Linked DNA regions of Drosophila melanogaster. The protein of the gene in region 2 purifies or fractionates together with the protein of the main gene of each other region. This does not show direct contact. Each region holds a gene or a part of one and is shown on either strand. Other genes may lie near its edges. The genes, in order: wrm1 and pck.

Region 1 (4,031 bases), on a different chromosome or scaffold from region 2:
TTTAACATTTAACGATGCCACGGGCGAGGAATTGCTGCGCTTTTCCCAATCCCTTGCCCCGAGTCTTTGCGATGACTTCGAGACCTTTGTCATGCAAACGAACGTTACCAAGAAGACACCACAGCCGCTGGTGCCACTGCACATCGCCTGGCACAATCTCATCTGCGCCAATCCCCAACTGCACGAAAGTGTACTCACGTACGAACCCATTGATTTGCAGGCAGTTTACTTGCACCTGAAGCACATGGGGCATCGATACGATCCAAAGGACCTGAAGACCTTCTTCGACCGGCGTTGCATTATCTTTCGCTATGAACTGGGTGCTCCCGGCAAGCAAGCAGAGCGTCATGTGCGAAGGCACACAAAAAAGCCTTCTAAAAGGAAGTAGATTCTACAAGTTATGGAATTTCATTGTACTTATACCTAACTTTGAATGCATTGAATTATTTTCTAGTATTTACCTTATATTGTATTATTGAATAAGATATTGTTACTTGGTATTTTGCGATCTAAATTTATTGTATGTAAAATTGATAAAACTCAAATACATTCAACACTTTTGTTTGAAGCATTGTTAACCATTCCTATTTGCCATTTCAAGCTACCCACTAGCATCTACGATTAAAAAACACAATATTATTTTGGGGGCCGTAGATTTATTTGATGCAACTTCAAAATACAATATTACAAAACTAATGGACGAATACAAATGTATAGAGTTTGTAGTAGATACAAGACACTGATATTTTCATACGAGTAGAATATTGGACAACATTAAATGCAGCATCTGTAGACAGACTACCCTAAATGGGTATTAAATGTAAAAATACAATTCGATCTTACGGCGCTAGAAAAGACACTTGGACGGTATAAATTTCTTACGAGTCTCTACGTGAAAGGCACATTGTCAGATTGCGATTAATGGAATGGAATCGGCTCGAACAAAACTGGTTGCTAATGAAACTATTTGTACTGCATGCAAAACTGATATGGTTGGTGGGTGCAGACGGGTTAGTGGGCTCTTACAGTAGCTAGGATTAGTTTTGGGGGGAGAGAGATATATAAGAAGCAATTCGTAGCATTGCCGGCATGTATAAGTATGTAAATTAAAGGCAGGGCTGTCCAAGAAATCACCAACAATACCCATTGGTTGAATGGGATTAATGGGACACCCCTGAACACCCCAATATTAGGCATAGCTAATCTCATGCTCATACGTCTTTCCCCGCAGATCCTCGTCATCGGGAAGCGCATGGTGGCGCAAACCGCACAAACGCGGTCCGTAGCGCAGCATGACAATGATAACGCCCACGATGAACAGGGCGACGGCGGCCACGGCGGGATAAAGGAAGTAAAGAGCCATTGCTACTTAGATGTCGCTCTCGCGCTTCTGCAACTCCACGTATTCCTCGCGCTGGCGCTGCTGGTGCAAAGTGCGACCCTCTGGACGTGGTGGACGCTGGTGCTGCTGCTGGTGATGATGATGGTGCGCCGAGTGCACGGGCTCCAAGTCGTCAACGCCGATGACAACGTCGTCGGGGAACACTTGCTGATGGGTTGTGGGCTAGAAAAAGTAATAGTTTCCAAACAATAAGCCACGATTTTTCGGGCTCTGGCCAAAAAACCGAATACTCACATGGAAGCGCTGAAAGTATGAGGCGTCCTTCAGCTCAGTGAAATCCAATGGCGGCTGATTGTGGGGCGTGGCAGACCAAATGGAAACCAACCAGCGATTGCCCGTGTGCCTGTCCTGCCAGTACTTGCGATGCTTGGAGCAGCAGCCCAAGATAATGTTCAGTATTATGATCGTGCCCAGGACAACCGTGCAGATGGCAATGGTCACATAAAACGGCGAGAAGTTGCCGTAGATGTGGCCGGTGAAGTAGGGATTCTTTTCGTACGCCTTGCGTTCCTCTTCGATTGTGGACATAGTCTTATAGGGGTGTGGTCACTTGCAAGAGCCTCAATAGCCTGCTGCACAATGCTCAATGGTCTGGAGGGCAGGGGAAGAAGAGTGAGAAAGCGGTTCAACCACCACGCTGCATGCCACTTGCACCCCGAAACCAATTGCCACCGATTCCAATTTGTCACATTGGGCGTGGCGTCACCAAAGTAAACTAACTAGCAGCACCAGCAGCTCCCCACTTAGCAGCTTATATGCGGATTGCACTTACCATTTGCGCGCGATTGGTGGTCACTGAGATTGGCACAAGTCCCATTCAGGTGTGTTACACACTTCTGCTCTTAAATGTTATTAATTTCAGCCACTTTGCTGCTACGAAAACAACGCCCAAAAGCCAGGCTCAGTGTGCTAGTGATGGCACTTTGTGGACTCGCCGCATGGTTGCAAGCGATCGATAACCATTCATCGATCGCAAGTGCAGGTTGTGTAAATTTTTTACTGCATACATTTAGACATTAAGTTATTTGTTAGAATTTAAATATATTAAACAATGTTTATAAACATACAATTTAAAAATTAACGTATGTGCTATTTTTGTAACACCAAATTTACATGTTTTAAAACCCGACACGTAAGATAAACAATATTAATCTATATTTTCAAAATTAATGCGACTCGAAGAAAATATCGTGTTCATTGCGTAAAAACAGGCATATTAAACCACCATTGTAAACATGTTAAATTGCGCGTCTTCGTGCCGCTAGTAACATAATCGCACTTGCTTATCAACTATTACAGGTTTCGAAGCAATCCTAACTCAAAAACAATCCAGCTATTCAATAGCTTCAATAGATTTCCCCGATCACTGGTCGTAGGTGAGGAAGTTATCCAACCCGGTGAACTGGCGTGCCAGAGCCCGACCATCGTCGGTGGGCGTACTGAAGGCAATGCACTCCCTAGCGATCTCTTGACCGAGCACCGTGTGGCACTGGACGACTCGCAGCAGCTTGCTGGCGATCCCGCTGCGTCGCTGCAGCGGAGAAACCCAGATGCGTGAGACGCCGCAGCTGAAAGAAGGCACATTTTAGCCGTTGACAAGGGAAGGGGCATGCAGTAGGGGATGTCTTACCTGGCCGGGTAGCTTTCCTCGCTGAAGTAGTCCGTGCCATCGACCTGGATGAAACGATGGGCCTGCGAGAGGGGCTGCACCAGGCAGAAGCCTACGATCTGCTGCTTGCGCACTGCTATGAAGGCTACAAAGATCTTTGGCACAATGTACGAGGAATAGCCCAGCTCTTTGTCCACCACACCAATGAGATCCCGCAGTCTGTCGAGCCGAGCTGTCGGAGCGCGTTCGTTGATCCGTATGATGCGCCCGTCGCTGGCCCATTCTGGATAAACGGACACAATGTCCTCGTCGATCCAGCCCTTGAAGCGCAGCACATGGATGGAATTGTGGTACTCGCGATGAAGCAGCTCCTCCTCCGGCTCGTGCACGGTGTACACCAATCCGCACTGCTGGCACTGCCGTGCTCCGAAGGCCTTTTGACCAGCATCGATCTGGTACTGATTCGATCCACCCGCCGCCGTTAGCAATCTCATCGATGTATCCGGCCGACGCCGCAACGATTTCTGGACAACGGGCTGTAAGCGTTGAGTGAATATGGGGAAAAGCTTTGGCTGAACTTCCTCTACTGCTGGCGCATCCTGTTTTGGTGCAATGGCCACCGCTGTATTTTCCACTGTTTCCATCTGAGCAAGCTGCGCAGCCTCCTCGCTGTTCACCACCATGTATAAATTGTCCACAATTTGATTGGCCTCGTCCTTGTAGTCATCCGGATTTGCAATAAATATCTCAAAGTTCTTTTCGGTGCAAATATTGTTGCTAATGAGAAACTCTAGTAAAATTTGCTGTTGCTCCACGACATTGGGATCATCGGTTTGGTATGGCAAACGTTGACGGAACTCAGCAAAGGGATCAATTTCCACATCGTTCGCCTCTGGGGCATACTCAATTATATCCGGTAGCGACTCCGTTTCCATGGTCGTCTCCTCCGCATCAATGGGCGTTGCCTGTACCACCGGATTCGCTTCTACAATCTCATCAACCACCGTATCGTCCAGATTC
Region 2 (4,185 bases):
ACCACTACGAATTCGCTGGCCCGCCGAAAGCGCTTTCTCTGATTGCTGCTGGCATGAGTTCGATCAAAAGGGAGCGGGCACCCCATGGTGGGATCACTACTTACTTGTACAGGCAGTGCGCTGCGGTCAGAACCTTTCTGGGCGCGATTAGCGCCCCGCCGCAGATGTGGCCGCTTCCAAAGTTGTTGTCGTGGCGGAGAAGGCGGATGGAGACCAGGTGGCGCGTCTCGTCCGCCTTGGCCACGCTTCCATTGATGATGCGCGACTGCTGATTCTCCTGAAGGTCCGCCGCCGCGCAGGCGAGAAGGAACCAGAACAGAATGTAGCTGCAGCCGTGCAGGCCAAACTGAGTCATCGCAGATCAGATGAGAAGAAACAGAGCGCACGAAACTCACTGAATCGAGGGGTCGAGTCTGGGAGCCAGCAGCCCAAACTAACAATTGGCAATCAGCGGAGGCGCTATCAGTTCGATAAGGCAAACATAAACATATTAGGTGTAGATCACATCCGCACCTCATCACCAGGAACATGTAGCTGGGGGTCATGATGGGGAAACCAGGGCGGAGATGATCAATCTGATCAGTACGTTTAGCTTCGCAAGTTCAAATAATACATTTAATTCAATGTTGATATGTCTCTACACCAGTTTGCTTATAAAAGGTGGAATATGGTCTAAAAATTTAAGCTGTAAACATTTTTGAGCCTATATAAAAAGTATAATGGTAGATGTGTAAAAAGTTAGTGGATCTTTTTGGTCGCACTGATCTTACGTTTAGCTGTACGTGCTATTTAATACAATTACAAACGGATACGAGCTGATCTCGGCTGAGTCGGCGTGTATATAGATACATATGGTCGATTGTTAAAGGCACTATGGACGGCGTCGATTGCGCAGATTCGAGGCACGAGATTGCGTCTGAAAACTTAAGCTAAGATCCAATCGGAACGGAATGTATGGAAGTCGGGCGGACAGCTGTTATATGTAGCCCTGCAGGCTCCGCGACTGGCTGTGGTGGTGGCGCGGCGGCTGGTAACCCGGCTCCTGCATCTCCATTTGCATTACCAGGTTCTTCTGCTCGCCGCGGGCGTCGTAGGCTTGCCGGGCCTCGCGCTGCAGGATCAGAGCGGCTAGACCAAGGAGCATGAAGGTGACAACGGCCAGGGCGTAGGACCAGCCCAGCACGTTGAACTTGGGGTACATCATCCAGTCGCGGCGGTAGGCGCAGCCCCCGAAGATGCATACGGCCAAAAACATGAACAGAGCTGTGGGAGACCGCTGTTTAGCTAGTACTTATTGGGCGGGAGGCAGATACATACACGAGATGGCGGTGCCCATGTAGGAGAGGCGGACGAGCAGCCACTCGTACTGCAGAACGGCCTTAAGAGGCAGTCGGATGATGGTAAGCGAGAGCAGGGCCAGCACAAGGAACACGATGATGAAGGACATGGTCACGAAGCCCTGCACCGCCATGAGCCAGCCGGGCAGCAGATACTCACGGATAACGTAATACTCCTGTACGAGTGGGAGAAGATCAGGACAAGGATAAGAACCGGCCAGTTTGCTGTACTCACGTGCGAGAAGATGTTGTGGCAACCGGTGAACTGCTTCAAGAACGCGTACTTGGGGTACACGAAGTCCTTAAAGCAGTACTGCCACAGGCCCATGTTCTTGAAGCTGGCCCGCGTCTCCTCGTAGGACTCGATCCAGTACGGCGAGCAAAAGGACATCATCAGCACGAAAAAGCTGGCGAATGTAACTATGGCGCCGAAGACCACGCCATCTGGAAAGGGAATTGGGCATTGAAAGTATTTGGATGCAAATGCAGATCGGCCCGCATGCTTGAGTGCGTCACTTACTGGTGGCCCGCGGATAGTCGCCCTTTTCGACGCCCGAGTCCGTGGTGTCCTGCGACTGCTGCTTGTTAAGTTCGCGCATGCTGCTGTCCTGGGTCTCGAGGGATCGCAGTTGGAGCAGAGGAGTTTCTTTTCTGGGGATTGTCAGTAAACAAATACAACGCACACACCCAAAAAATGCAGCAACAACTAGGTGGGGCTAGCGATGGGACAGTGTCGATAAGAAATGTGGTGGGGCTCGGTCGATATACCGCGAATTATTTCAAAATACCTTTTTATTAAATTTATTACTTTAGGCTTGTTGATCTTCGGAAAGAGGGGCTATTTTGCAAAATGCTGTTTAAATATAAAACAAACCCATGCACAATCGATATTTTTTCACCCCTAGGTGAGCCCAGTGTGACCAGTACTTAGTGCAGAATACCGTTCTTGGTTTTTAATTCCATTCATTTCGTTCAATAATTACTATTTTATTTAATGCTGTTTGAGAAATACGATCATGTCCATCAAATGGCCCCGTCCACCTCGTGGTGCTCCAGGTGCTTCATGTAGGCCAAGAAGCAGGTCCAGCACAGGCTGCACGCGCTGATGAATGGCACCCGGTTGCGCTCGGGGATCAGGGTGAAGTTGATGGTGGCCACCAGTGGCCATACGGACAGAGCCACCTGCAAGAGCGATGGAATTGGTGGGTTAGGCGGCAGTTCTCCCTCGAATCCCAAAAGAGTACCTTGTACGTGGGCAGGAATTTCTTGCCGACCTCGGCTACCGCCTGCTCCACCGTCTTGGACTCCAGGAGGCTCATGATAAAGTAGAAGCAGGTCATCGCGCCGGGGGTGTACGAGATCGTCTCCACCGCCGCCTTAATGACGCCCGTCCTCAACGATGTCTGCGGCCACATGGCGCTGGAAATCTGAGGAGCAATCGGAATAGGAGTAGACCTAAACAGCAGCCATGTAAACGGTCACTAACCTTGACCCATCCGTAGAGGGTAGGAGCAACAAACAGACCACCGTACATGCTGAACCGGAGCACGCGCCACCAGTCGTAGGTGCCTGTAAGATGAAGACGAGAAGGATAAGGAGCTGAGAGCTGCTCGAAAGAATGCCGACTCACCCCAGCGCCTGCCCTCAACCGTTTGCTGGATGAGGCTGCCCGTGGGCCAGATCAGGCTGTACGATATCATGCCGCGCATAATCGGGTAGCGGGTGACGAACACCTTGAAGTTTTGCCACAAAAGTGGGCCCGCCATCGCAATCTCGGCCCTGCGGAGTCACAATCGCGCGGTTGGCATCTCATTAGCATGGCTAATACTTCAGGCCCACAACTGCATGGCCAGCTCTACCCACATAAAACCCACAAGCGAATGCGGGCCCCAATATTCCATAAATTGCCCTGCTCTACCTGTGAACCGTGCACATAGATGGCCGTCATGGCTTGGCTAGCAAGGCTCGCACTTTTCTACACGGCAACCTTCCTTCTGGCAGGAGCCTCTGGCGAGGATGGAAAAATCGTCAACGGCACTACAGCTGGCCCGGGGGAGTTTCCCTTTGTGGTCTCGCTGCGACGCGCGAAGAGCGGACGTCACTCCTGCGGCGCTACGCTGCTCAACCCGTACTGGGTCCTGACAGCCGCCCACTGCGTGCGAGGCTCCTCGCCAGAGCAGCTCGACCTGCAGTACGGCAGCCAGATGCTGGCGCGAAACTCCAGCCAGGTGGCCCGCGTGGCCGCCATCTTCGTCCATCCAGGGTACGAGCCGGAGGACAAGTACGTCAACGACATCGCATTGTTGCAGTTAGCGCAGTCCGTCGCTTTGAGCAAGTTTGTCCAGCCGGTGCGTCTGCCGGAGCCTCGACAAGTCACGCCCGGAAACGCCAGTGCTGTCCTCGCGGGCTGGGGATTAAATGCGGTAAGAGAGAAGCCATTCCTCCTTCAGACTCCTTGACTATCGACTGAACCTTTCAATTGTAGACGGGCGGCGTGGTCCAGCAGCATCTGCAGAAGGTCAAACTGCAAGTGTTCAGCGATACCGAGTGCAGCGAGCGCCATCAGACCTATCTGCACGACAGCCAGATCTGTGCGGGATTGCCCGAAGGTGGAAAAGGCCAGTGCAGCGGCGACTCCGGAGGCCCGCTGCTTCTTATTGGCTCCGACACCCAGGTGGGCATTGTTTCTTGGAGCATAAAGCCCTGTGCACGGCCACCGTTTCCGGGCGTCTTCACCGAGGTGTCGGCCTACGTGGACTGGATTGTAGAGACGGTAAATAGCTATTCGCCCCCGTCGTCGCTTTGGGTGGGCCAGCTGATTGTGGGACGATCCCCGCCTAGCCTAAGC

What was found.
Region 1: the proteins of pck (region 2) and wrm1 purify together in Drosophila melanogaster (affinity purification with western blotting; one study listed by BioGRID). This does not show direct contact.

What each region holds. Positions count from the first base shown.
Region 1 is NT_037436.4:7,332,906-7,336,936, forward strand, and holds wrm1 (wurmchen 1), read right to left. Parts: upstream 2,322-4,031; 5' UTR 2,175-2,321; intron 1,994-2,174; 5' UTR 1,931-1,993; coding exon 1,637-1,930; intron 1,565-1,636; coding exon 1,370-1,564; 3' UTR 1,364-1,369; coding exon of another isoform or gene 1,190-1,363; 3' UTR 639-1,189; downstream 1-638. Other genes in the region: mus312 (mutagen-sensitive 312), read left to right, coding at 1-388; wrm2 (wurmchen 2), read right to left, coding at 1,190-1,363; eco (establishment of cohesion), read right to left, coding at 2,766-2,970, 3,033-4,031.
Region 2 is NC_004354.4:1,468,736-1,472,920, reverse strand, and holds pck (pickel), read right to left. Parts: upstream 2,256-4,185; 5' UTR 2,126-2,255; intron 2,074-2,125; exon of another isoform or gene 2,054-2,073; 5' UTR 1,937-2,053; coding exon 1,858-1,936; intron 1,782-1,857; coding exon 1,573-1,781; coding exon of another isoform or gene 1,514-1,572; coding exon 1,318-1,513; intron 1,264-1,317; coding exon 977-1,263; 3' UTR 596-976; downstream 1-595. Other genes in the region: CG14780 (uncharacterized protein), read right to left, coding at 1-45, 105-355; CG14778 (uncharacterized protein), read right to left, coding at 2,361-2,519, 2,582-2,764, 2,824-2,906, 2,968-3,103; CG32808 (uncharacterized protein), read left to right, coding at 3,275-3,760, 3,823-4,185.